7 linked regions of the Macaca fascicularis genome follow. The protein of the gene in region 3 purifies or fractionates together with the protein of the main gene of each other region. This does not show direct contact. Links are inferred from orthologs where the notes say so. Each region holds a gene or a part of one and is shown on either strand. Other genes may lie near its edges. The genes, in order: YBX1, G3BP1, TRIM25, MAVS, IGF2BP3, DDX5 and G3BP2.

The links.
Region 1: the proteins of TRIM25 (region 3) and YBX1 purify together in Homo sapiens (affinity purification with western blotting; 4 studies listed by BioGRID and IntAct, with this or other methods). This does not show direct contact. The link is inferred for Macaca fascicularis from reciprocal best matches to the Homo sapiens genes TRIM25 and YBX1.
Region 2: the proteins of TRIM25 (region 3) and G3BP1 purify together in Homo sapiens (affinity purification with mass spectrometry; 4 studies listed by BioGRID and IntAct, with this or other methods). This does not show direct contact. The link is inferred for Macaca fascicularis from reciprocal best matches to the Homo sapiens genes TRIM25 and G3BP1.
Region 4: the proteins of TRIM25 (region 3) and MAVS purify together in Homo sapiens (affinity purification with western blotting; 3 studies listed by BioGRID and IntAct, with this or other methods). This does not show direct contact. The link is inferred for Macaca fascicularis from reciprocal best matches to the Homo sapiens genes TRIM25 and MAVS.
Region 5: the proteins of TRIM25 (region 3) and IGF2BP3 purify together in Homo sapiens (affinity purification with western blotting; 3 studies listed by BioGRID, with this or other methods). This does not show direct contact. The link is inferred for Macaca fascicularis from reciprocal best matches to the Homo sapiens genes TRIM25 and IGF2BP3.
Region 6: the proteins of TRIM25 (region 3) and DDX5 purify together in Homo sapiens (affinity purification with western blotting; 3 studies listed by BioGRID, with this or other methods). This does not show direct contact. The link is inferred for Macaca fascicularis from reciprocal best matches to the Homo sapiens genes TRIM25 and DDX5.
Region 7: the proteins of TRIM25 (region 3) and G3BP2 purify together in Homo sapiens (affinity purification with mass spectrometry; 4 studies listed by BioGRID and IntAct, counting the BioPlex papers as one, with this or other methods). This does not show direct contact. The link is inferred for Macaca fascicularis from reciprocal best matches to the Homo sapiens genes TRIM25 and G3BP2.

What each region holds. Positions count from the first base shown.
Region 1 is NC_088375.1:192,186,736-192,190,713, forward strand, and holds the start of YBX1 (Y-box-binding protein 1), read right to left. Parts: upstream 2,801-3,978; 5' UTR 2,662-2,800; coding exon 1,862-2,661; intron 1,825-1,861; coding exon of another isoform or gene 1,761-1,824; intron 1-1,760. UniProt on the Homo sapiens protein: DNA- and RNA-binding protein involved in various processes, such as translational repression, RNA stabilization, mRNA splicing, DNA repair and transcription regulation.
Region 2 is NC_088380.1:158,622,483-158,626,691, reverse strand, and holds the start of G3BP1 (ras GTPase-activating protein-binding protein 1), read right to left. Parts: upstream 2,801-4,209; 5' UTR 2,722-2,800; intron 2,454-2,721; exon of another isoform or gene 2,290-2,453; intron 1-2,289. UniProt on the Homo sapiens protein: Protein involved in various processes, such as stress granule formation and innate immunity. Plays an essential role in stress granule formation.
Region 3 is NC_088390.1:49,808,731-49,812,894, reverse strand, and holds the start of TRIM25 (E3 ubiquitin/ISG15 ligase TRIM25), read right to left. Parts: upstream 2,801-4,164; 5' UTR 2,741-2,800; coding exon 2,144-2,740; intron 934-2,143; exon of another isoform or gene 873-933; intron 1-872.
Region 4 is NC_088384.1:83,425,929-83,429,428, forward strand, and holds part of MAVS (mitochondrial antiviral-signaling protein), read right to left. Parts: intron 2,753-3,500; coding exon 2,580-2,752; intron 1,830-2,579; coding exon 1,670-1,829; intron 1,480-1,669; exon of another isoform or gene 134-1,479; intron 1-133.
Region 5 is NC_088377.1:106,924,444-106,927,943, reverse strand, and holds part of IGF2BP3 (insulin-like growth factor 2 mRNA-binding protein 3), read right to left. Parts: intron 2,701-3,500; coding exon 2,419-2,700; intron 1-2,418. UniProt on the Homo sapiens protein: RNA-binding factor that may recruit target transcripts to cytoplasmic protein-RNA complexes (mRNPs). This transcript 'caging' into mRNPs allows mRNA transport and transient storage.
Region 6 is NC_088390.1:71,096,259-71,100,495, forward strand, and holds the start of DDX5 (probable ATP-dependent RNA helicase DDX5), read right to left. Parts: upstream 2,801-4,237; 5' UTR 2,672-2,800; exon of another isoform or gene 2,403-2,671; intron 2,152-2,402; 5' UTR 2,009-2,151; coding exon 1,965-2,008; intron 763-1,964; coding exon 597-762; intron 242-596; coding exon 145-241; intron 37-144; coding exon 1-36. Other genes in the region: CEP95 (centrosomal protein of 95 kDa), read left to right, coding at 3,012-3,030. UniProt on the Homo sapiens protein: Involved in the alternative regulation of pre-mRNA splicing; its RNA helicase activity is necessary for increasing tau exon 10 inclusion and occurs in a RBM4-dependent manner. Binds to the tau pre-mRNA in the stem-loop region downstream of exon 10.
Region 7 is NC_088379.1:58,219,092-58,222,591, reverse strand, and holds part of G3BP2 (ras GTPase-activating protein-binding protein 2), read right to left. Parts: coding exon 3,465-3,500; intron 106-3,464; coding exon 24-105; intron 1-23.

The sequences.
Region 1 (3,978 bases), on a different chromosome or scaffold from region 3:
TAGTATCTCATGGACTAAATACTTATAAAGTGTAAAGATAATACTCTTATTTTGGACAAAACTATTGATTTCAAAAAATGTCATAACCTATGCCCACTTAAAAAAAAAATGCAGCGAAACAAGGCACATGCTAAAACTTCTTAAACACATACAAAAACTGCGATCTATCTGCTGAAAAGGATGCATATTTGCACACCAGAGTTACCATTACATTGGGTCAAGGGTTAAAAGCAGTGATTTTGAAGGTATGGCCCGAAGACCATTATCATTCCTGTTAAAAATGTACCCAGACCTAATGAATCCAAAGCTCAGAAGAAATACACCACTTAAATCACACCCTTCCAACGTAAGCACACTTAAATTTGAAAACCACTGGTTTAAGAGTTAGACTAGTAAGGACAGTCAGTAAGACACAAATACAAACTAAAACACTAACAAATTCAGACAGATCAGTTAAAAAGCTATCAGTTTACCAATCATATATAAGCATTCCCTTTCTTCTTTGCTAGTAAGCTTTTATCAAAAAATTAATGAAAACCGTAGTTTCAGCCAGCCAGGAAGGCAAACAGTATAGAACAAGTTGGAAAATCCTAAGATTCTGGAAGAAACAAAATGTTTTCCCACAATTGCAAAAGTAGAGAATAGATCATCAAATGCTTATCTCTTACTTTAAGTATTTCCACAATACTCTATGATTGATTAATGAACAGTTTTTCATCAGGCCATGAATCTGTCCTTAAGCTTGATTTTGCCCATTTGTTGTCCATTCCACGTTGTTCTTTTAATCATCTGCTTAGGTCTTCTACAGTAAGTAAGCAAGAGAATGCTGAGATGGCACTTAAGTACCATACCTGTGAGGCCAAGATTGCTACTGGCATACCCAGTGCTCTACACCCATGTAACTGCACTACTAGCCTTGGCAGCCATCTTGAAAATGATGCCCGGCTCACAAGGAAGCCCATGGAATACTGTGCGTCTACTGCACGTTACCACCACCACTGCCACAAACAACCCGAAGGGTAAGTCCTAAAGACGTATCTGCAGCTTTACCTTCAAACAGGAAGAACAATGTCAAGTTACTAGTGACTATGGCCACTCTAATAAGCTACAGCCAGGGATCTAGCGGAAATTGACTTCATCAGCATGATTTTAGGACAAGGAAGAATGAAATAAGAACTGAAGGAAAAAAACCATTTTCTTGCAGATATATTATTTATGAACAAATAAAAACAGTTCTCTCTGGTCAAAGCTGTGCTAATACAGAATTTATCTCAGGTATTAAAATGAAACGTGAAACAAAGGCAATACAACCTCTCGGTAAAGATGACAAAACCTCATATACTTGACACGTCAAATCCTCTTACCCCCAAAATGTTAACAAGGCGTAAATATCCGATGTCAGTGGATCACATTCTCAAATACCGAGTTCAATAAAGTAGAAAAGGATGACAAGAATAAAAATCTACTGGACCGTACTTTCCCGTTTACCCTGTTAAGGAATGGCTCATTCACTCCGCTTGCCTTTTAAATTGCTTTGTGCTGTGACGAAGCCCTTGAAGTTAGCTTCAAATTAATATTTAGCTGCAAAACAAAGGCATTCTCTAAACCCAAATCCCTCCAGTCGTCAAGGAAAACAAACAGACAAAAAATCACATTAATACACCAGAGGTAGTAAACGCCTTTCAGAAGAGGACTGTGGATTGGCACAGCAAGAAGCAAGCAAGAAGGTAGGATGGAGGCTTCAGAGCCCAGCAGCTCACCTGTTGATGAAACCATATCCGTTCCTTACATTGAACCATTTTACTGTTCCCAAAACCTTCGTTGCTGGAAAAGAAAACAAAGCAAAACAAGCCACGATTACCAGCTATCCTTTTCCAAACCCGTCTCGCTTCGGCATCCGGTCCCTCGCACGCTGCCCGCCGCGGCCACCTGACAGCCCTTTCTCTCCACCGCCTGGGTGCGGGTCCGCGCCGGGGCCACGCCGCCGCCGCCGCACACGTGGGTGAGTCTGAAGCGCGGGGCGCTCCCGGGCAGGCCCGGGGCGCGGGCCCAGGATGGGTGTGTTCGCAGGCCGCGGACGGAGAGCACGTGAGGGAAGGGGAAGCAGCTCCGGACTGCGTAGGCGGTGCGCCGCGCCCTCCGAGCACACGCGGAAGGGAGCTGGGTGGGGGAGACGCGAACAACGGCGTGCGGGCCCGAGCGCACGAGGCCAGTCGGCGGGGAGGGGACCCCGTCGCACACGCGGTCGGCGGCGCGCGGCCGCAGGAGGAGGGGCGCGCGGCCGCGCGGGGTCCACAGGGGGCGCGGGAGGCAGTGTGCGCGCGCCTGCCGGGCGGGCCCCCGCAAGAGCGAGTGGGGGGGCGGGGGGAGGGGCGGCCGCGCGCCGCGGAGTCGGTCCCCACCGGCCGCGCGCCCGCCGGCTCGCCCAGCCCCGGCTAACGGTTCCGCTGCCAGGCTGCCCGAAGGCCCCACCCCCGTCCCTGTCCGGTCCTCACCGATGACCTTCTTGTCCCCGCCGGCAGGCGCCGCCGATGTGAGGCCGCCCGGGCCACCGCTCCCTGCGCCGCTGCCCGTAGTGCCGGGCTTGGTGTCGGCGGCGCTGAGGGCGGGGGCGGCGGGGGGGGCGGCGGGCGGCTGCTGGGTCTCGGCCTCGCTGCTCATGGTTGCGGTGATGGTGACTGGGGCCGGCTGCGGCAGCTGCGGCTCCTCCCGGGGTGTGATGGTAACTAGGCCGGCGGCGGCGGTGGGGCTGCTCAGGGCTCTCTGGGGTCCGCTCTCCGCTCCCGCTACCGATCGAACTAGCGAGAATGGCGGGACAGGCGGGATAAGCCCTACGATCGACCCGCCCTAGGCGTTGTTCACTGGCCGGTGGTACTGTCAATCTGCCCACCTGACCTCAGTCCCTGGCTTCTATTGACTAACATTTTATCAGTCCTCCACTCTCATTGGCTGTCTGGCGGCTAATTCAGCCGACCTACAACCGTTCCTGCCTCCGCCGGCCGCCATAGAGACCGGAACTAGAATTAGAGTAGTCGGCCACGAAAACCATAGAGTACCTGAGAGGACGGGCAGAGGGAACGTGACTTCCACGAGGCAGTCGCCGGGCTGGCGGGCCCGACGTTCAGGGTTGTGTCTCGGCTGAAAAAAAGGCACGCCCGAACGCTGGGCAGGGATTACCCGGCCGGACCCGGGATTGGAAGGGGGCTCGACGACGCCTTAGCTCCCCGTGAAGAAAAGGCTTCCCTCCCTCCCTGCACCAAATACGGTCCCTGTGATCTGAGAACATTACGGCGGGCATAGAGTCGTCTTTTCTTTAATGGCCGTGTACTCGCGGCACAGCCGAGGGTTTCTGGAATTGCCTTAAACGTATGCGTTTGAAGAGCGTACGCTTTTGTCGGAGCAGTCACCTTGGAGGGACCACGCAGGCTCTGGCAGCCCGGGCTCAGCATGTTTAGGGCGAGGGTGTGCTCCGTGGGGACCTGCCTTCTGATCCGTTTTACCAGGCATATATTTTTAAAAATGTGTCTTCCTTTTCAAGTGTTAACGTGTTTTTCTACTGGCCACAAATCAGATTTAATTCAACTCACATTTATTGAACAAGCTAGCGTCCTATGTTTTTTTTCATTTAATTCGTACAACAGCCATGTGATAGAGGAATTACTATCCACGTTTCACAAACGATAAAATTGAGGCTGCCACCTGATGTTACTGAAGTCCTCCACCCACCTTCTTTCGTTCTTTTTTAAGCGTCTACTATCGGCTGGGGATGGAATAGTTCGCGAGTCAGTTTCTGCCTTCTGATGGAGGCAGAAATTTAAACAGCCAACACGGTAAATACTCCAGAGCTGCAGAAGCACGAAGTATTTTGGGAGTAGAAGCAGGGAGAAGGTGGAGGGCTGACTTTCTGCGCACAGGGTACAGGCGAGAAGGGGTGGGATCTCGGGAAATGCAGTCAAGTAGTTCAATAAGACTCGAATG
Region 2 (4,209 bases), on a different chromosome or scaffold from region 3:
TTACTGGGGGGGCGGACGAGGCTTCCTTTCTTTTTCTTTTTTTTTTTTTTTGTGACCTACCTACTTCCACAATTATTCATTCTTCTTCCTAAAGTCAGTAATAGTTTTGTCCAAGGAAGCCAAAGCACAATATAATTAAACAAACAACATACAATGCATATTTGAATTCTGAAACAAAAAAAATCAATTTGCAAACTGTTAAAAGACCAAGTGGGTACTTTTATCAGACTGACAAAAATAAAAAATTGTAAAATTGGCTTTAGTCACAAATGTAAGCTTTATGTTAAATTTTGTCTTTTAACACTAACCCCATCAGTCCTAAGGACGATATAAAATTCACAAACTTTTACAAAAACTTAAAACTGCCTTCTGCCGTTCACTTTCTATGCAAAATACTAGAACGAGTGGGGAAAAAAAAGAAAAACCATAAGTTACAAAAGAAAAACTGCTCTAAGTAGGTCACAAACCAACATAACCAAAATCTCCTAATGTTCCCTGGTGGACTGTCAGCTGAGAACAGCAAACTGAGTTAAACAAAGAACTGTCTACTTTTCTACCTGTAAGAGGTACAAAAGCTAGACTTTTCTACCGGTAAGCAGCTCCAATGGTAGGGATGTAGGGCGGCCGTGCCAAGCCTTACATTACCACAATTTGCTTCAACTCACTAGTTCCTGATAAAGGAATGCACAAGTGATCAGCTGGAGCACCGGTCTGTGAAATAATCACGTAATTTGCATATTCCTGCCCAAGTGATAACCATTTGCCTGAGGCCAAGAACTGTATTTTTTTTTTTAATATTTTAAGTAGAAACTAACAAAATTTTCCCTCAATAATGCGTAAGGTAATTTCATTCTATTTTGCCTCAAGCTGTAATAAAATTAGCTGGACTCAAGCTTTAACAGTTTAAATGCAGATCATTCTAGTGTTTTTCCATTTGACAACTTAAATTGCTCGTCTTTAAGTCTAAGTTAAAATGCTAATTCAATAGTTAACCAGTCCGTAAGGGCAGGTAACCGGAATTGCTACACCAGGAAAGTTCCAAGTAAATGTTACTTGGAACATTGTTACATTATAACGCATAACAGCTTCTCTAGAAAGAGTTTCTAGAACATGTTTATAGAAACGTTTATGTTTATAGAAGCGTTTCTATAACATAGGAAGATTTATTTCACTAAGCCAAGGAGTATGCTGGCTTTTAAATAACCTAAAATATGGTAACTCTACTAGAAAAATATAATCTCAAGTGTCTGAAGAAAAGCATCCTGTTTCTGCATATACACAGGAACCCAGCAGAGTAAATGCTAAATAAACGGAGTGTGTACACAAACTTTCATCCACTGATCTCGACTGTCACAGTTGTTTTTTCCAAGACATCTCCAACACCAGTAATTCGGCCAGGGTGACACGCGCCACAGAGATCAAATGTATATCGTAACTGGGCGCCATCCTTTCCATTCCAATTCCGTATTTTAACCCACAGATGCTAGTGAGATCTGAAACTCGTTGCTTTGCACCTCACTTCCTTCAACTATAAAGTTAATCTTCTCAAGGTCTTTCTCCAAAAGCCTCCTCCAATTAAAAAAAAAAATAGAGAGAAAAAAAAATTCAACGTCTAAAACCGGAGCCTAACTTCCCGCTGGCGGGAATTTCCCATCACCAATCTGAGTTTCAAACCCGATGAGGAACACAGTCGATGTTCTTTTGCACTTACTCATCATTTTCCCTACTTTTTTCCAGAAGTTACTGTGGCGGCACATCTACCCACGGCCTGTACGAATACACGTAGAAAAGCAGCCCAAACCCTTTTCCTTTGTCACATTCCCACTACCAACCCTTGTCTCCCTGGAAGCCCAGAACTAGCCCAAGTACAAATGCCGCTGCAGCCTGCTCGGCAGGTGGCCTTTTGAGGCTGATGCTGTCCCGAGGGACAAGTGCTCTGGGGGCAAAGAATAAAACAGGCTTGGGAAGCGGGGGACTCGGAGTCAGAGGGACCGGCGTCAGCAAATCCCCGCCCTTCCCGTGCGTGCCTGTGACCCCGCTCTCCAGACCCTTGCCTTGGGCCGCTACGGAAGGAGGACAGCCGTACCCACCTCGCCGGTTCACTGCGACAATCAAATCAAAGGCAGAAAAGCGGCTCCGCACAGTGCCGGGCACATAGCGAGAGCGTGGAAAGAACACTGGTTGTTACTATCACTCCGTGCACTCGCTGCTCCCTTTCCTCCCTGCAAAACTGAAGGCACTTCTGCGGCGCGCGGACCACAAGACTCTAGACTTTAGTGCTGCACCCACCCTTAAACGAAAGCTTCCTTCTGGTCCGAACCGACTGGATCTCTTGGCCAGGGGACGAAAAGACTCCGCAGGCGCGTGGCGGAGTGGGTGGCGGGCGGGAAACGCTGGGCGCAGAGCCCCTAGTCCTCGAGGCCGCCCTGGGGCCCGGGCGGCGGCCGCGACTCACTCCCGCCCCGCGTGGCCGTTGAACGCAGCACGCGCACGCGGCGGACACGGCCACGCGCCCCAGTCGGGAGGGGAGGGGGAGCGGGGAGCCGCCGCGCTCCCGTCCGTCCGCCGCGCGCGCCTGCGGCCGTTGGGGCTGGGGTGGGGGTGGGGGACGCGCCTGGCGCGGCCGCCGCGAGCGCCACTCAGACTTCTCCCTCTCACAATTGCCGCGGCTCAGCTTAGTCCTCTGGCTGCCCTGCCCCGCCCACACCCCTGCATACCTACCTGATTGAGCTGGAGAGGAACTAGCTCTGCTCCACAGCACCAAGGATAACAGAAACCCCTCACGCAACTGCGTCCGCACACACGCGTGCTCCGCCGCCGGTCTATATAGCTGCCACTCACCCTAACTTGTTGCGGCCAGGTCGGGCGACGGGATGACCAATCCCGACCGCGTCCTCCGGGCTCTTCGAACAGCAATTGGGCACTTACTGGGGATGAAGGCGTGGCTCTTGATTGGCTTTGACTCATGCCTATGAGACTGTGAGGATCTCGTTTCCCTAGTAACAGATCGGCACTAAGAGAGACCAATAACCGAAAAGTACAATAGAAAGGCGGGTGAGCAGTTCTTTGACTGATACCCAGAGTAGCCAATAAATATGCGGAGCTGCTCTTATTCGTTAACACGTCTTCCCCTGGGCGGAGATCCGTTTTCCATGCAGGAGCGGTTGCGCCACAAGGTGGGGCCCGTGTACTTTGGGGAAGTAAACCCCTAGCAACTAGGAGGCGGGCGCCCGAGAGGCCAAGACAGCCTGTGGCCAATCGCAATGCCGGAAGGAGTTGATAGACACGGAGGTTACGCTGCTCGGAAGAGACCGAGCCCCAGGGCGACCGTGCCCTCTGGGCGGTTGTGAGGTTATGCAGGCTGCGGCTTCTGCTCTCTTTCCTTTCTTTCTCTGACTTGCTGGGTCCCGGCTCTGAGGCGTGCACACCGCCTTTTCTGCACAGTTTGGTACCTGTGGGGAACTAAGTGGCAAAGTTTCCCGGGTGGTTTTGTTTTTATTACAACTTTTTTTTTTTTACATACGACGGCCAAGGGCCTTGCTGCCCTCACCATTACTCAGCACTGCTGTGGGGCACGGGAAGGAAAGTCGCTCCTGCGCCGCCTACGGGCTCCCGCCGGAAGGTAGCCAGTGGAAGTGCCTGGGAGCGCGCCCTTCCGCCAGGCGCTTCCGGGCGGGTGCTGCGAGGCGGCCGCGGGCGTGTGGCGAGGCTCCCTTTGTGGCGGCTGAGGCACGGTGGTCCGCGCGTGCTCCAGTGTAGTTTGGGCCCTCGCACCACGTCTCGAGCCGCGGCACTATTGTTCAGCCTCCAATTGCCGCGGATGGGGGCTTATTCTCGTCGCTACGCCTTTAAAGGGCAACTCATCCCCTCCTCCTGGCGTCTCAGGCACTGGCGGGGCTATAACTCATGGCTGGGCGGCCGTGCGTGGGTCGCCGTGGGCATTTTCTGTGGAAATAGCTTTGGTTCCCAGCCGTCAGGCACAGACACGACCCGGTTTGTTTTCGTTCGGGCATGTGACCAGGCGGGAGGGTCTCCCGCGGAGTGTCGCTGAAAATTTTGGAAATGAAGCACATGGAGCACCTATGTAGGGGTAGAGAGGCCGAGCTGAAAGGAGCACGGGCGCCGGCCTCAACCTGTGGGGAGCCGGGCCCGCTCGCCTGCCTGCGCCTGGCTAACCCGAGCCTGGAACTCGGGAAGCCCAGGAGCGAA
Region 3 (4,164 bases):
GTACTCAAGCCTGGGTGACAGAGTGAAAACCTGTCTCTAAAAGAAAAGATTAAAAAATATATATATATGGGCTGGGCATGGTGGCTCACACTTATAATCCCAGCACTTTGGGAGGCCAAGGTGGGTGGATCACAAGGTCAGGACTTTGAGACCAGCCTGGCCAATATGATGAAACCCAGTCTGTACTAAAAATATAAAAATTAGCTGGGCATGGTGGCACACGCCTGTAGTCCCAGCTACTCAGGAGGTTGAGGCAGGAGAATCGCTTGAACCAGGAGGCGGAGGTTGCAGTGAGCTGAGACCGCACCACTGCACTCCAGCCTGGCAACAGAGCAAGACTCCGTCTCAAAAAAAAAAAATCTGATTTTACAGCCAGGCCGGGTGGTAGCACACCTGTAGTCCCAGCTACTCGGGAGGCTAAGATGGGAGGAGCATTGAGGCCAGGAGTTCAAGACCAGCCAAGGCAACATAGTGAGATCCTGTCTTTACACAAGAATTTTTTATAACTTAGCCAGGTGTGGTGGCTCACATTTGTAGTACTACCTACTCAGGAGGCTGAGGCAAGAGGATCACCTGAGCCCAGGAGTTGGAGATTACAGTGAGCTATGATCACCCCACTGTACTCCAGCCTGGGTGACAAAGTAAGATCCTGTCTCTAAAAGAAGGAAAAAAAAAAAGCCAAGTTTATAGCCAGGCATGGTGGCACACCTGTAGTCCCAGCTACTCAGGAGGCTGAGATGGGAGGATCCCTTGAGGCCGGAAGTTCAAGAACAGCCTAGGCAACATAGCAAGACCCTGTCTCTAAAAGGAAAAAAAAAAAAAAGCCAAGCTTATATGCTACACAAAGCTGGATGCAGACCCCCAACTCTGACCTTGCTCAGGCTACTGTCTCCTTTGACAACACGAAGACGGGTCTTGTTCTCCCTGAAGGTGCTGTGAGAATGAAATGAAATCAGGCCATGCTTTGGATCTTAGGCTGATGTAACAAAAGGTGGTTTGATTTCAGCCTCTGCTTTGAGTCCACAAGGGAAAGGTATGATCCCCAGACAACCTAAAAACATTGCAGACCTGAAAGGCCCTTAGGAATCCACCTAGTCCCACAGCCTCACTATACTGGTGAGGACCCAGGTCCAGGGGCCAAACCCTGTGCTCAAAGTCACACGGCCAGGACAGAGGACACTATGGTGCAAGAGTGTTGGCTCTCCCTGTGGTTCTGATCCAGTGATTACTGGGAGGCTGCCCACCCTCCCTCTTAGGCCTCTAATAACAACCCTTCCTGATCACACGAACTCTCCGGCCCACCAAAGGCTTTTGCTTACATGACCTCAAGCTTCCTGGGCTGTTTGGTGCTCCAGACTCTACGGACCTGGATACGAGGCTGGTCCATGGGGAGAAATGCAAACTATGAAATCGAACCAACCTGGGCCGCAATGCTTGCGTGGCCATTTACTGCATTAGGTCAGGCTAAGTTCATTTCTCTGAACCTCAGTATCCTCAAGAGTAAAATGAAACTAAATCATATCCACCTCCTGGGTGCCACCAGGACTTCGTGAAGGAACAGAGGTTACCTCCAAGGTTCATAGTTGACATTCAAAACCCTCTACTAAACACCATCAGATGGTGGGGTGCAGTGGCTCACGCCTTTAATCCTAGCGCTTTAGGAGGTAGAGGTGGGCAGATCGCTTGAGCTCAGGAATTTGAGACCAGCCTGGGCAACATGGCGAAACCTCATCTCTACAAAAAGGTAAAAAAATTAGCGAGTCTGTGGTCCCAGCTACTCTTGAGGCTGAGGTAGGAGGATCCCTTAAGTCCGGGAAGTCAAGGCTGCAGTGAGCTGTGATTCTGCCACTGCACTCCAGCTTGGGTGAGAGGGACGACACCCTGTCTCAAAAAAAATAAAAATAAACACCATCAGACAAAGACAGGCTTATGGCAAGCAACCTAACCTGTCTTCATGGATGATGGCAGAGGACTATATAATCTCCCAGCCCCTTTCTACTCTGACATTGGAGATGCCCCGGCCTCGAATTCAGGCCCATCTCCCCCAGGGCGTCCAGAGGGTGGCAGAGAGGCCCCCGGTGGCCCCTCTGCACCACCCAGCAGGCCCAGGCTGCCCTCTGCGCCCTCCCGGGCCATTCGTTACCTCCAGGTTGGCGCTGGCCTGGCTCAGGGACGCGGGAGAGCAGGCCTTATGCTCTACCAGGCAGATGTGGCAGATGCACTCGCCGTGCTCGGGGCAGAAAAACTCTCGCAGCCGGTTGTGCTGGGAACATTTGCGGCGCAACAGGTCGCGAACTGGAGACTGCAGCGGATGGTCCTGGAAGGCGGGGCTGTCGAAGTGCGGCTGCAGGTGCTCCTGACAGAAGGAGGCCATGCACACCAAGCATGTCTTCACGGCGGCCTCCTTCAGGCAGTGGTCGCAAGCCACCTGGGCACCCGGGCTGGGTGCAGAGGCGCGGGCGGGCGGCGTCCAGCCGTCGGCGGGTGGCTCCCGGGCCAGCTCGGCCTGCAGGAACTGCTCCACCACGTTGCACAGCACAGTGTTCTTGTGCAGCTGCGGTCGCGCCTGGTAAACGGCGCGGCACTGCGGGCACAAGTATGGGGCGCCCTGGACGGCCCACGTCTCGTTCAGGCACGAACCGCAGAAGTTGTGGCCGCACGGAGTGGTGACCGGCTCCTTGAAGGGCTCCAGGCAGATGGAGCACGACAGCTCCTCGGCCAGGGGGCACAGCTGTGCCATGATGCTCCCAGGGGTCGAGACGCGACTACTGCAACCGCGCTCCGAGGCTGCCGAGGAAACGAAACCTAGCCCGGGAAGGGCAGTCCCTGCAGCCGTCAGGAAGTCACGTGGGGCGCGGAGGGGCGGGCGGCGAGGACTGGTCGGGCCTCGCGAGGTACCCTCGAGAGCCTGCGGGCACCGAAGTGCCAGTTGCCCACGAAGTGGCGAAGGTCGGCCGCGCTGCGAGCCTCGAGAGCTCCCGCGGGCTGGGCGCGGGACGCTGGGCTCGGCCTTAGCCCCCGGGGTTTAGAGCATCCTCGCGACCACCCGGAGGCTTCTGGGGGCCACTCTGCGGATGAGGAAGCTGACGACTGGGTGCAGAACCCCGGACCCCCAGATTCAGAGCCCAGGTCCAGTCGCGCTTCCGCACAAACTTGCGCCCGGAGCAAGTCCCCTCCTTCCCAGCACTCATCTGAGACCAGAGGTGTTCCCATAACTATGGGGCAAGCTTTAAAAAAAGCAAAAAAAAAAAAAAAAAAAAAAAAGGAAACCTGTAGGAACTGTTAAACCACAATGCTTTTTTCTTCTTCTTTTTTTAATCCTTCCTCTTTCCTCGTCCCGGATTGGGACATGCGAACATACAGTCCCTGAAGACTGGAGCCCATAGTCACACACTCAGATTTAAACCTGGTGATTTATTTCCATTCTACTGATATATCATGCTTTTATAAAAATTCCCATTTCTACTTTCCTGGGATTTGGAGTTACCCAGTTTAACAAAGGCTTTCTCTCTCCTTCTCTCTCTCTCTCTCTCTTTCTCTCTCTCTCTCTCTCTCTCTCTCTCTCTCACACACACACACACACACACATAATATTGGAACTTAAATATTTTTCTCAAAGTTACTGATTTAAAGTTACTTCCTTTAATACTTTCTTTTGCTCTGTTTTCCCTCCTCTGGCTTGACTGCAGGACGTATGGGTGGACTGGAGAGTAGAAGTGTTCAAAAGAGGTGGGGATTGGCCGGTCCCAGTGGCTGATGACTGTAATCCCAGCACTTTGGGAGGCCGAGGCGGGTGGATCACGAGGTCAAGAGATCGAGACCATGCTGACGAAAACTGTGAAACCCTGTCCCTACTAAAAATACAAAAAAATTAGCCGGGCGTGGTGGCGAACGCCGGTAGTCCCAGCTATCGGGGAGGCTGAAGCAGGAGAATGCAATGAACCCGGGGGATGCAGCTTGCAGTGAGTGGAGATGGCGCCACTGCGCTCCAGCCTGGGCAACAGAGCGAGTCTCGTCTCAAAAAAAAAAAAAAAAAAAAATGCCGGGGGGGCTGGTGGCAAAGAGAAAGATGGTGTTTTGGAAGGAATTAGTTGGAGTTTGCTTTGGGGACAGAGTGGGTAGCAAAATGAGGAAAAGATAAATGTCTTAGTTTACCTTGTAATA
Region 4 (3,500 bases), on a different chromosome or scaffold from region 3:
GCCTGAAAGCCCAACAGCTGCCCTCAGTCCTTGACCTGTAGCCCCAGGTCTGTCCTGGCACACAGTGAAATGGTACCTAGGAACTTGAAGATCATTATTAATTATTCTCTCCGCTTTTTCCTCTCCCACCTAGGAAACCTCCCCTCTCCTGTGTCCACTTTTTCTACCTTGACCTTAGCCTCATGGAATCCTGAACACTTCCCCCATTGCTGTCCCTCTCCGACCACCACGAGTGGAAGCAGTCGTGGATCAGGGTGAGGGGTGGCAGGACGGCGCATGCAGAATGGCTCATACCAGCCAAGAGGGCTGGCCATCCCAGAGGCTTGGGAAGAGAGGCAACAGGGACAAAGCCACCCCTGGGAGGCTGCCTGACCTGGGTCGGGGAAGCAGGGGATAGCAGGTAGTGATGGTCTATAAAGGCAGTTGCAGCAGGACTCTCCACGGAACTCGGAATGCACATGCCAAGCCCCACAGCTGGCAAAAGTCAGGGTGATTCTGATGTACACCTCCCCCACGGCAATCTAATACCACAGAATCTCATGGGACCTGTGTCTACAAACATACTGAAACCTAAGTGCCCTCTGCCTGCATGGTCTACAGCAACTCCTGAAAGGCATCCCATGGCCAGATGACACTACAAAGCATAGACAGGTGCTTGGAGCAGTTTGGGGATGACAAAAGTACTAAGATGACGTCTCCCAGCCTTTAACTGCTCATTGTCTTGTGGCTGTCCCAGGGCACTGAGGGCTGACTGGGCACCAGCATCATGTGGAACAGTTTGGGAAGTAGGAAAGAGACATGCTAGCCTGAGAGGTCCAGATGGACAACTATATATTTCTGAGGGGGAGCACTGAGGTCTGGAGTTGGGTCCAGGCCACTGGATGATGAAGAAGTCTGGGAACTGAGAAGTTTTCATGATTCACTGGGAACTGGAGATCTCTGCAGTAAGGCAGTGCCTAAAGGCTCCCCTGCCAACAGCTGATGCAGCCCTGCACTGTCCCTTGCCCACCGCCCTCCAGGCCCTGGCTGATCCCCACAGTCCCTTTGGCAGAGGGCAGAAATGGCCCGACTTATCTCACTTACCTCCACCTAGCCTCTTTGCACTGTGCCTGTCAGTCCTCCCCTCTAGGGAGGGAGTCTATTTCCCTACTCCTTGAATCTAGGCTGGCCTTATCACTTGCTTTTGCCTACAGAATGGGGCATGGGGGACACTGTGCCAGTTTTGAGCCCTCTCTCTCTGGGAACTCTGCCCAGCTGCCATGATGGGTTTGTGTGCTGGAGGATGAGAGACCACATAGAAGAGAACCAAGGTGCAAGGCCAACAGCCAGAGGCAGAACTTATGTATATATCAGTGAGTACTTGAGAGGAAATTCAGTCAAGACCAGAAGAAGTGCCCAGGTAGGTAGCCCAAATGCCTGACCCACAGGATCATATGCTAAATAAATGGCTATATTTTAAGCTACTGAAAAAAAACAAAATTGGAAAACTGTATTTGTTACACAGCAAATGCTAACTGATACACCCGCTAAGGAACTGGTTTGCTTCCTGGGTTGAACTCCCTTTATTCCCACCTTGTCTCCTGTTCAAGGAAGCCAGAGGGGCAACTCTTAATTCTCACCTTCACTTGAGAGATCAGAAGGACCCTATAATTCCAGATTCCATGCATACCTGCTGTGTGGGTACTGCCCAGTTCTGTGTCCTGCTCCTGATGCCCGCTGGAGGTCAGAGGGCTGAGGGCTGCCAGGTCAGAGGAGGGCTCCAGGGGGCCACCATCTGGACTCCTTGGGATGACTCTGGGGTTGAGTGTCTGTGGGGCTTGCTCTGAACTCTGCAAGAGGGAAAATATGATTAAGGCAGTTGCCTCTCCCAAGAGCTTTCAAAGGGCAGCTTGTGCTCTTGGGGCATCTCCTATAGGTCTCAGCCCACACCATGGAGCACAGGAGCCAAGGGAGCCCTTTTCTGGGTTCTGGTAATTCCCAGACCCTCTGTCCACAGGTGTCCTTGCATCTACCTCACAGAAAACACAGCATCGCCGGGCGCAGTGGCTTACGCCTCTAATCCCAGCACTTTGGGAGGCAAAGGTGGGCAGATCACCTGAGGTCAGGAGTTCGAGACCAGTCTGGCTGACATGGCAGAATGCCATCTCTACAAAAACTACAAAAATTAGCTGGGCATGGTGGTGGATGCCTGTAATCCCAGCTACTCCGGAGGCTGAGGCAGGAGAATGACCTGAACCCAGGAGGCAGAGGTAGCAGTAAGCCAAGATCGCTCCACTGCACTCCCGCCTGGGCGACAGAATGAGACGCTGTCTCAAAAAAGATAAAATGAAATAAAATAAAAACTGTGCTCTCCCAGCTGGTTGGTGACAGAGGATTAGGGCTGCCACAGGGTAAAGACGTGGTCAGCAGTCTGGAAGCTGGTCTGGGGCAGATTGCCACTAAGGAAGCCCTGGGATTCTGAGCAGAGATTAGGCGTGAATTATAGGGGACAGGAGAGGGTTTCTGGAAGGCTCAGTGGGCAGAAGTAGGCAGATAGGAACACAAAAGCAGGTGGCTCAAGGTGTCCTGTGAGGACAGACCTCTCCTGGGGAGTCTGGCGCCTGGGTCTCCTGGACAGGCATGGGGTAACTTGGCTCCTTCTCTCTGTAGCCGTTGTAGGGGATACTGTGGGTCGCAGCAGGTGTGGGAGGCCCTGGCCCCTCAGCAGGAAGTGACGGTGGCTCCAGTGGGTCTGGGGGACGGTCCGAGGTCCCTGGAGGACAAAGATGTAGTGATATCAAGAAGGAATCTGGGCTAGGCATAGTGGCTCATGCCTGTAATCCCAGCACTTTGGGAGGCCAAGGCGGGCGGATCACAAGGTCAGGAGATCGAGACCATCCTGGCTAACATGGTGAAACCCTGTCTCTACTAAAAATACAAAATTATTAGCCAGGTGTGGTGGCGGGCACCTGCAGTCCCAGCTACTCAGGCTGAGGCAGGAGAATGGCATGAACCCGGGAGGCGGAGCTTGCAGTGAGCCCAGATCGCACCACTACACTCCAGCCTGGGCGACAGAGTGAGACTCCGACTCAAAAAAAAAAAGGAATCAGGAGCTGGGCATAGTGGCTCATGCCTGTAATCCCAGGATTTGGGGAGGCCAAGGCAGGTGGATTAGGAGGTCAGGAGTTCAAGACCAGCCTGGCCAATATAGTGAAACCCCATCTCTACTAAAAATACAAAAATTAGCAAGGCATGGTGGCATGCATCTGTAATCCCAGCTACTCGGGAGGCTGAGGCAGGAGAATTGCTTGAACCTGGGAGGCGGAGGTTGCAGTGAGCTGAGATCGCACCACTGCACTCCAGCCTGGGCAACAGAGCAAGACTCCGTCTTGGGAGAAAAAAAAAAAAAACCAGATGCGGTGGCTCATGCCTGTAATCCCAGCACTTTGGGAGGTCAAGGTTGGCGGATCACCTGAGGTCGGGAGTTCGAGACCAGCCTGACCAACATGGAGAAACCCCAT
Region 5 (3,500 bases), on a different chromosome or scaffold from region 3:
ATACAGATGTTTTTGAAAATGTGGTAAAACTACAGGTACCAACATAGTACAAAGTCCTTAAGTGAAATAATGCAATTCATATCATGACATGATTTCTTTTTTAAAGTCACACATGTTAGTAGATACAGGCAACAAATCCTGTAGAGATACATCCCCAACTTACCAATGGCTACCCGGGTGAGACGAATGGTAACTTTTTAATTTACATATTTATATGTTTTGAATTAAATATGTCTGCTGTTATTTAAAAAGTACAAGAAAGAAAATCAGCTACTCAAAAATGTGTGTTTTTGGGAAAATTAAGTGTTTGTTGAGTTCCTCTGGCCACTCAAACACTTAAAGACCTAAATAACTCATGGCCGTGAGAGTGACCACTTGATCGTGCCAATAAAATCAAGGTTTGGCTTTCATTTTCCTAAATGTTTGGTTGAAATCTAAAGCTTTACACCTCAAGAGTGAAAGAAAACTAAAAATAAGGGCATGAAACAAATTAAGGGCTACCTAAAAATAACTAATAAAAAAAATAGTGTCTTAGGTAACAGTCCCAATCTTAGGAGTCATCTTCCCAGCTGCTGTTTCAATCCCCAGTCACTTTCAGTGATGCGTGTCTTCCAGTAACACATTAGCATCCTTCTTTGCAGTTTATTTCCACCCTTTCACTGTGCCTGGATTACTAAACTCCGATCCCCTGAGAGAAGGGAATGTGGCTTTGGAGGTTAAAGTGGCCCTCTGAGACCATTCCAGAAACAGAGGTTCTGATAATGACTAATTTCAATGTCAAGAGTTAATTAAATCCACTGGCAGAGCTCTGCAAATGAATCCTCGGATATAACAAAGATTGCTTCCCTTCCCCATCCCCATTTTCCTGCCTTAAGTAAAACAAACAGTTCAATTTAAGTCACAGCTCTTTCATCTGACAGAGAAATGAATAGCTCGAAAAGGAACAATTCTAATCTGCTACATGACAAGGAAGGGAAGCCATATAAAGAATTTCTGCAGGTAACGGTGGATCAAGGGAAGCAAGAAGCCCTTAAATTTTAAGATAAAAGCCAAGCCGACTGACTAGGTTATGGTTATGGTCCAATTGTCTTTCCCACTCCTACATGATGAGGTCAGGGCCATTAATTTTGCATTCAGGTAACCAGCACCCAACATCTCCTGCTTCAAAGCAGGGGAAGGCAGGATCAGATGTCACTGCAGGGAGCAGGTGGGTGTAGACCACCTCTTAGTACAGTTCTTTTTGGTTCTGCATGAGAAATGGGTCAGCTAGTCCAATGCAGGCATGGTGCCTATGATGAATACGCATGTGCTCTTAGGCCTGCTGGAACAAACACATAAAGTATACACAGCAGTGTAGTTCTAACTTTTAGGGAAAGATTAAGCTTATTTCGTCGGATCACATTAAAAAAAATCATTCTCCTTTCTCAATTTAAAAGGCAAAATAATCTTGTCATTTCTGTAGCTGGCCCAAGGCTTACAGGATGGTATTTTTGGATACAACCTCTTTTTCCCAGCACATTCACAGGTTCTTCAGGAAAAACGTTAGTAACAGGCCCAGAGATGTGCCCTGTAGCACGTTACCGAGCTAGGTATGGGGGGCAGAGCTTGTCACCAAGCTTCTCTGGGTCAAAAAATATCCACATACTGTACAACAGCATGGTTTCTAAAGCAAAACAACATACAATGCATGAGGACTGAGAAGTATCTTAGACACACGTGAAGGGCTTCAAGCATAATTCACATGTAGTCATTTTAGTCATTTGACAAATAGAAGATCCTTCTATGCAGCAAGGCCCTGGCCTTGGCCCTGGGGCTACAGTAGTAAATAAAAACAAATAGTTCCTGCTTTCTGCTCATGATAATTAGCTCCAACATTTGGATGGGAATCTTCCAATCCCTTAAAGCCCACCAATTAAAAACATCAAAAAATATCCAGAAGAAAAAGCCATTCTAATCACATGGCTTAATCACAGGAAAAATTTGGATAAATAAGATGAGTGATTCGAGTAAGGCAAGACTGAAAAACTATCTCTGTATTGAGGCCACAAATAAAACGGATTGGACCCAGAAAATTACTTCTAAAAGCAATGAGGGGAGGTGGGGGGTAAGGGGTGGAACAGAGAACAACCTAGAAGCTGCCTGTCTGTCTTCCAGAGCCTCCCCAACCAGAAGAGGATTAGGTATCATTTGTTTTCCATTCATGTGTGAAAATCTGAGGTTTCGTTTGAGACTCAGGATTAGCTCCAGATTTATATGAAATGAACACCAAGATACTGCAAGATTTTTATACATTTCCCAAGTACTGTACAAGGAGGCCTCATGGCTGCGTTCAGAAGGGCACCAAGTACCAGAACGACACACTGCTAAGATTCCAAGGGGAATTCTCCTGAACACCCACCATACACTCAGCATACTCACTTAGACTGGGTCTGTTTGGTGATGTTCCGAATGGTGGCACCTTCTTTTCCTATGATGGCTCCAACAAATTGGGTGGGAACCAGCAGGCGCAGAGGCAAATCACATGGTTTCTGCTTGGACACAGATCCTGGAGACCCCTGCCTTGAGGAGCCCCTCTGCCCAAGCCCCCGGCGACCTCGGGGCTGCTGCAAGGGGTTTTGCTGGGCGGCCATTTCATCAGGGATATAGGCTACTTTCAAGGTGAAATTCTCTAACTGAAATCCATTCAGTTTGTCTAGTGCTCTGAAAGTTGAAAAGGGGCAGGTTTGGGAAAAGGAATCAGTCTATACGATACATCTTTTAGCAAAACAACACCCATCTCTTCTACTCAGCATTACTAGCTATAAACTTCTGAGTAAAGCCCCAGCACAAGCAGCAAACCTGCAACACACATAATCCTCCCCCTCCTCGCCCTGCACCACCACCACCTGCACACATTTTCCTTTGAGACAGGCGCAGCGGGGAAAAAGGCCACAAGTTTCCAGAGGGAACTTATGTGCCATCTACTTAGTGAAAAATAGAAAAACAAAAAACATTTTGTCAAACTCTTGGTTAAGTTTAACCCATAAGGTTATTAACAGTTTAGAATAGCTAAGCAGCAAGAGAGAAGGCAAGTGGGCTTCTTGCCTTGGCTAATGTTTCCAAATCACAGTGGAAGAGACATTAGAAATACATACCTCTTTTACTTCACCCTCTAAAATGTGAAGTATTTAAAACCATTTTAAGAAGCAGTGCACAAATATCTCTAAACTATTCACAAACTATCCTGAGTATTAAATTCTACCAGTCACACTCAGTACCTATTATGAGCCAGTCCCTGAGAAAACAGTGGTCCCTGACTTTGTGGTTAATGATCTGATTTGGGGCAAAGAGGCAAGGGTGGTGATAAACCAAAGAAAGAGAATTACTTTCTAATCTGCCCACTCTACCACACTATTTTGGGAGAGTTTCTCTCTTTTTCATCTGGTTTTTTTTTTTTTTTTTTGAGACAGAGTCTTGCTCTGTCACACAGGCTGGAGTATAGTGGAGCCATCTTGGCTCAC
Region 6 (4,237 bases), about 21 Mb from region 3:
TGAAATTCTGTCTTGCAATAACATCCATGACATTTGCTATAATTAGTGACAGATATTTAACAAAAATTAGTGATGCCAAGGAAAGGAGGAGGTAGGTGAAAACAAAAACACAGGGGTAGGGTAGAACTGAAAAGTAGCACTCACCAGGGAAATTAGCTTCATAAAAATTTAGAACTGGCTTCGGGCAGTTGTGACCTCTAACTGTAATTTCCTTGCTTCTTCTGTATGTTTCCACCTCTTGCTGCAAAACAAATTATAACAGTCTTAAAGCTCATGACAACCACCCCTAACTAAATACGTAATTGGCAAGTCCGTAACTTCATAATTTAGTAATTAGTTTAAAGTAGCTTCATTTTAATCTGGAACCGCGTATGAAAACCCTATATGACAAAAAAACCGTTTATTCTGCTATACTCAATCTAAAAAAAAAAATTCCCAAAGCCACCTATTTGCAAAAGTGAGTCACACCTTTCCCAATTATGAAGTCAGAAAACGTAACTCTACCAAAATTGAGTTATTTGCAAAACACCTGTCAGAATTTCATTTACTAGACTCCATTGAGTTACAGCCTGATGAAGCCACATGAATTTACTCACTGCTGTCCGCCTAGCCAAATCAGGGTGCTCTTGATAGAAATTCTTCTCAAACTTGGGCAGCTCATCAAGATTCCACTTCTTTTTAACTAGTTTCTCCCCAGGGTTTCCAAACTTCTTTCCAGATAAGGGCCCCGCCCTACTTCCTCCAAATCGAGGTGCACCAAACCTGGAATGAAGAAAAAAAGTTATTTACATTTTCAAATGGCTACACCTAGGTTTCTGGACAGATTTGTTTACCATCCCTTGGCACAAGCTAAAGATCACTGAAAGCCGACTTCGAGAGGTAAACCTAGCACTGTCCTTAGTGATAATCTCTCTCTCAACAGCCACAGTTAACGTTTCCCGTAGTCCCAAGTACACACAACTTAGGCCACGTAAACAGCCTGGGATTTACTATATCGAAAACTTGTCACCCAGATGCCAGAATTTAGTATTACACACCACTTCTTGTGGTTACTATTATCTTTCTCACCAGTCTAGCAATTCATTATCAGTGATAACAAGCCTACATGAACCGAAGAGCATCACAACGATGTTACTCATATGGCCGTTTTCAAGCCAAAGAGCTTTGATGTCAACAATCTAGACAGCACAGACAACGAAAACGAAACAACGGTTTAGAAACACTTCTGCTAGCAAACCGAGCTGGGGGGACGCCGCGGTAGAGCTCCGGATCAACGAATTAAAATTATATAACGCAGGAAAAAAGAAAAGGAGGAGCCGGCGACTACCGGGGGAGGAGTCCCGGCCCGGGCGGAGCCGGCCGGGCGGCGTTCCCGCTGGGGCGGCGCTTCCCCCTTTGTCTCGCATTTCTCTCTGCGCCACATTTTCTCGACGCTGCCATTTTGAGCTCCTCCGCCGGGCGGAGTAACAAAGGCGCCGCCGCCATGTCCAAGGCCGGCATTTTATACCCGCGACTCAGCCACATGGCTGATGCCGGCCGCCCTCCTACCCCCACAGCACCAGTGGCTTTGGAGGTGGTCCCTTCGCTCCCACAGAATGCCCGACCACCCCAAAAACACCTCCCGAAAGGCCGCACCTAACAGCTGTTCCTTCGTCTGCCTCGAAGCGTCGCGCTTTCATCCGAACAATGCGCTCCCTCTGAATTCCCTCAACAGCTACCAAATGGCAGCCGCCCCGACGGCTCCCCGACCCCCACACAAAAAGCGAGGATGAAGACACTATCCCGTCAAATCTCTCCCACTCACTGTTACGTGAATATCAAAATGGCGCAAGCCTTCGGGAAAGGAGGCCCCAAGATAGCCCGGAAAGGCCGAGTCCAAGCCGCAAAGCCCCGGCCCGCCGCCACCCTGACCCGCCCTCCCATCCCCCACCCGCCAGCCCTGACAACTCGGCTCCCACACTCACCCTCGATCCCGGCCGCGGTCTCGGTCACTCGAATAACCCGACATAGCGTCAATGGTTGCGGTTGGCGGGGAACGAAGTAGATAGAAAAGGGTGCGACGAGTCGCTGGAAATGGCTTCGGCGACGGCGAAGCCTTGCGGGGGCGGCAGCGGAGGAGTGACGGCGATGACACCAGCCAAAGCTGCACACCTAGAGACCGGTGGAAATGAATGAGGTGCCGGCCGCTTTCCGGCAGCCGCTTTTATAGTCTGGACCTCCTCCTACGCCGCAAGGCACGCTGGGAGCCGCTCTATGACCTAATCGCCCCGCCCCTCGCGCAGAGGCCGCAACGCCCGCCGGCGTTCCGCGATCGCCGCGCTTTCACCCCACCCCGTGCCGCTCTCTCAGGTCAGGGCCCACCCACCATTGAAATGCCTCATTCTCCACTCTCTTGACCTCACCTTCTTCTCGTCTTTCCACACCTCAAGAAAGCCACCCTGCCCTTTCCCAAGCCCAGCCAGACGATAAAACAGCCAGCCCAAGCCCGCCCACCCTCCCCACTCGGAGGTGTTTACGTCTCCAAAGAGCCCTCACGCCTGTAACCAAATGAGAGGGAAGGCGGGGGCCTGGCGTTGTCACGTGACGTTACCCCCCCACCGCCCACCGTGACAGGGGGCCGCACTACTTCCCCGTTGACGTCGGCGGAGGGATACATAACGAAATAGCTCACCGGAAGTGCGCTGCCAGCACCCGGGACCCGCCCCCAGCTGCCGGCTAACTTGGACCGTCCGACCCACGGGTCTGACAATCCTGTGACGGGTTTTGGCCGGCGGAGAATGGTCTCTAAACTTCCCAAACCGCTTCCGTGGCACGTGCTGTGAAAGGAAGTGCTCCTCTGATGACCAATCAGCGGCGAGAAGTTCTTTTAACGTCCCTCCCTCTTTCACGCCTCCTTCCCCGCGCTTTAGTTCGTGCGCCCGCCCCCCAGCGTCTGCTCTGCGTTCGGTCCTTGCAGGACACCGTCGCCGGTCTGGCAGCGTCGGAGTCCGGCGGCGACCTGCTTCCGAGACATGGCCCGCTCGGAGGCTGGTGAGTGTTTCCCTGGGGTCGCGGTGTGTGTTTACTGAAACTGTCCACCTTCAGGGAGGCCTCGGGCTAGCCCGGACTGGGTCTGGGGTGTCGGCGGGGCTCGTTACTGTCAGACGCTGCGTCGCGGTGGCGGGTTCTCTGGATAGGGTCTCTCAGCTTCACCCCCTCTTCGCTTTGAGGCCGTGGAACAGCAGTATGAGGTGGGAGAGAGGCACTGGGGCGAGGCCGGTAGGACGCTCGGGTCCTGGCTGCAAAAAGAGCAGTCAGAAGGGTCGTCCTCGGACTTGTCTTTCTGTGGGGCGTCTAGCCGCTGTCCATGTGCCCTCCTCCCTTGCACTATGGGCCCTGAGGTCGTACCTCCTTTTGTAGTGGTCTTTAAAGGAACGGCACTCTTAAGGTTTATTCATGCCCCTGCCACAGAAGAATAGTGGTGCTTTTTTCTCTTCAGTGCCCTCTAGAGTCATGGGCTTTGTCTAGCACCGCTTTTGAAGAGCGAATTAATTTGGTTGTCTAGGACGCTTTCATCCTTTTCACTAGGACTGCGTACAAACCAGTTGTCATGGTTTGGCCAGTTGTGAGAAATGGGCTTGGAGAGGGGGGATTATGTGCCTGGAAGATACACTCTCATTCGTTTCCAGAACGTCATGTGTCCAGAACATAGTGGAGATGTTTGTTTCTAATATCGATTGCCAGTGCTTTCCTACCAATCGTCAGGCATTTCAAGGAACAAGTATTTTAAGCTAAGTTGCTTTTGGTAGAGAAACTGTTAAACTTCGCAAATCCCAGCAATATCTAGGGGAGAGGAGAATGTGGTATGCAGGAAACGTCAACAGTATTGATAATTCTGAGCTTCATGTACTTCCAATATTTTGTTTCATGTAGATCAATATAATAAAAAAGAAAAACTAAGAAATGCATTAGTGTTGATGTTGTCATTATGCCAGTTCTTAACAGCCTAAGTTTAATCACCACTTATTTGGGCACCAGAGAAATCCTGACTTGCACAAGATAATTGGGTAAACACATGACCAATACTGTTGGGAGTTTGAAGCAACATATTTTATTAATGACTGTCTAGTAACTTCAGATTATTATTAAACTGTTGCTTATGACATAATATTCCTGTTTACTTGTAAACATGTTTTAACTAAAAACACCCACGTAAGGCTTATATAAGTAACTTAAGATTTTAGGCTGCAACAGTAAC
Region 7 (3,500 bases), on a different chromosome or scaffold from region 3:
CTATATATGAAATTGATACTTACATTTTGGCCATAAACAGCTTCCTGGGGCTTTCCACTAGCATCTACTCCACCATGAACATAGGAAGAATTCCTGCCATAAAACCTGCAAAACCATAATTAATGATTAACACTGAATTGTCAAGAGAAGCCTAAGAGGCAGTAGAATTCTGGTGTCATAGACTAGGTTCCGGATCCGGCTCTGTCACTAGTTGTGTAATCTTGGACAGGTAAATTACTTAAGGTCTTTAAGTTCAGTTTCCTTGGTTATAAAACAGGAACAGGAACTACTACACAGGGTCGTTGTAAGGATTAAATGAGTAATGCACATAGAATGCTCTTAGTTTATCTGGCACAGTACGTAGACAATCATTAGATACTCATATCTAATTCTTATCACATATGTTTTTTGTTAAGTGGAAAAATCGGATATTTTTGACTATTTAGTACATTCTAAATACAGATGCTATAGTAACCGACCCTGTTTTTCTCTTCAGATACAAAGATTCAGCTATCTAGATTTGTTTGGGAATCACAGTTTAATACTATATTCAGATCTCCAAATGATTACTAATTCTAAAGGCTTAAACTGTTTAGATTTAAAATAACTGAAACAATTCAGAGATAAAGTCTAAAATCCAAAATTACTTCAGCATCTAATTTTTTAATATTTTTGTACTGTTCCTAAGTATGTGTAAATTAGTCTTTTATTGGCATTATCCAAAGCAATTAGAATTAGAATCTTTCTAAATTAAGCTCAAAGACGTGAAGTTAATTTTTTCACAAAGAAAACGCAACTCCTATAGTAATAAAACATTTAAGAGCTTCCTTTATGCTAAGCAATGTTTTTAGTGTATTATGTGTACTGACTGACTTAATTTTCTTAACAATCTCATGAAGTACTATTATCTAAATAAACAAGCTGCGGTTCAGAAGAGGTTAAATTAACTCCCCTAAGGTAATATACCTATCAAGTGGGGCACCCAAGATAAGAACCTAGTCTAACTTGAGAGTCCATGCTTTTAGCCACTACTCTTACTATTAAATTTACACTCTCTTCTCTCATGTACTACTGGCATCTTTCCTATAGAACAGTTTGGCTGTGTGTGTATCTGTGTGTATACACATGAAAAGTCTCAGAATGATCATATCTCTTTGATGCATTAATTCTTCCAGGAAAGTATCTAAGAAAATAACTAACTAGCAACGTACACAAATAATGCATGTTTCAGGATATGTATTAGTGTTGCTTATCACAAGTAGAAAATTATAACAACTTGAATTTTCATTAAGAAAGAAATTGGTCAAATAAGCTAGGTCTAAAACAAGTCTGTTACTGTTTAAACATGATGGTGTAGGGCCTTATTGTTTTAATTTTTTTTTTTTTTGGTCACTAAAGAAAACAAAAAACCCTGTATCATGAAAAGACCAAATTTCAGATATCAAAGGGCCCTATTAATTCTATATCTTCCCCCAAACTCCCTCACATACACTGTCATCAAAAACATCTTTACTTTTACAATTAGAGAAAGACACAGTTATTCATTTTACATTTATTTGCGGGGAAGATACATGTTAGTTACACTTTATATATACTACATTATAATAAAGTGGTTGGGGACACTACTCAGAACTGGGCCTGAATATTGGCTATGGTTAGCTTGTTTACTTATTGAGTGATCCTAGATGAATTACTAACCTCAACTGTCTAATAGATAAAGAGCTAATAAAAGTAACTTCACTTTAAGACTGTCATAAGGAGGCTGGGCGCGGTGGCTCATGCCTGTAATCCCAGCACGTTGGGAGGCTGAGACGGGCGGATCACGAGGTCAGGAGATCGAGACCATCCCGGTTAACACAGTGAAATCCCGTCTCTACTAAAAATATTAAAAAAATTAGCCGGGCGTGGTGGCCGGTGCCTGTAGTCCCAGCTACTCGGGAGGCTGAGGCAGGAGAATGGCGTGAACCCAGGAGGCGGAGCTTGCAGTGAGCTGAGATCAAGCCACTGCACTCCAGCCTGGATGACAGAGCGAGACTCCGTCTCAAAAAAAAAAAAAAAAGACTGTCATAAGGAATACATGAGATAATATACATATGTAAAGTAATTAGAGTCTAGCAAACAGTAAATATAAAAATGCCTTCTTGAATAAAACAGATTACATGTATGTTCAAAAGAGCAAGACAAATTGCTACTGAAATGCTCATTAAGATGACCTACAGATAAAGGAATTTAAGTCTTTTAAACAGCCTTTCTCACGGGAAGTGGTAATATATTTATCCTTAACCCATTTGGCCAGTGTGTTCTGCAATACTTACAAAGTGTAACTCTTGTAAGAGTTTCACCTATCTTCTACTTGCTAAGATACATCAAGAACAAAAATTAAATACTACCCACAATATAAATCAATTTCACTTTGATCTCTGGAAAAAACAAGCCTACAGATGTCTACCTCTTGTTAAAACAGTAAATAAGGTTATTGCTGCTGTTTTACAAAGGAATACTATTTTACAGATTAGAAGAAATACAAATTTTCACAGTATAATCATTTAACTGATCCATTCCCCGACACTGTTTGGGATAACTTTAAAAAAAAAGATTTAAGCTGCTGATTTCAAATTGCATATTGGAACCCATTAGTTGGTCAAACGGTCAAACCCAAGATATGGTTTTTTTTTTTTTTTTTTGAGATGAAGCCTCACTCTGTCACCCAGGCTGGAGTGCAGTGGCACAATCTCCGCTCTCTGCAGCTTCCACCTCCCAGGTTCAAGCAATTCTCCCGACTCAGCCTCCTGAGTAGCTAGAACTACAGGCGCCTGCCACCACGCCCAGCTAACTTTCGTATTTTCAGTAGAGACGGGGCTTCACCATGTTGGCCAGGCTGGTCTCAAACTCCTGACCTCAAGTGATCCACCTGCCTCAGCCTCCCAAAGTGTTGGGATTGCATGTGTGAGGCGCTGCGTCCAGTCTCGTGTAAACTTTATATAGTTCTCCACCACCCACCCCAAAAGGCTTTTTTTGTTTTTTTGGTTTTTTTAATGAAATAAAGGTTGGGCTTGGTGGCTCATGCCTGTAATCCCAGTGCTTTGGGAAGGCAAGCTGCAAGCTGGGAGGATCGCTTGAGGCCAAGAGTTTGACGCCACAGAGGGCTATAATCACATCACTGCACTCCAGCCTGAGTGACAGAGCAAGACCATGACTCTAAAAGTAAAATACTAGAGTACATGTAAGTATGTGCATATATATATATGAATGTGTTATGTACTAGAATATGACATAAAGTGTTTTTGTTACTGTGAGTTGCAGTCAAAAACACTTTCTGCCATCAAATGAATAAAATATTGAATACAGTTTAGACATGTTTACAAACATACTGTCAGATAATGAGACAGGAAATGCAAAATATATGTAGTAATATCCAAGAAAAAAAATAGATAACAATACCAAATTATTTGTTTAAAATTTACCTGTGTAAATATTCTGGAGCTTTATTCAGCAAAGTA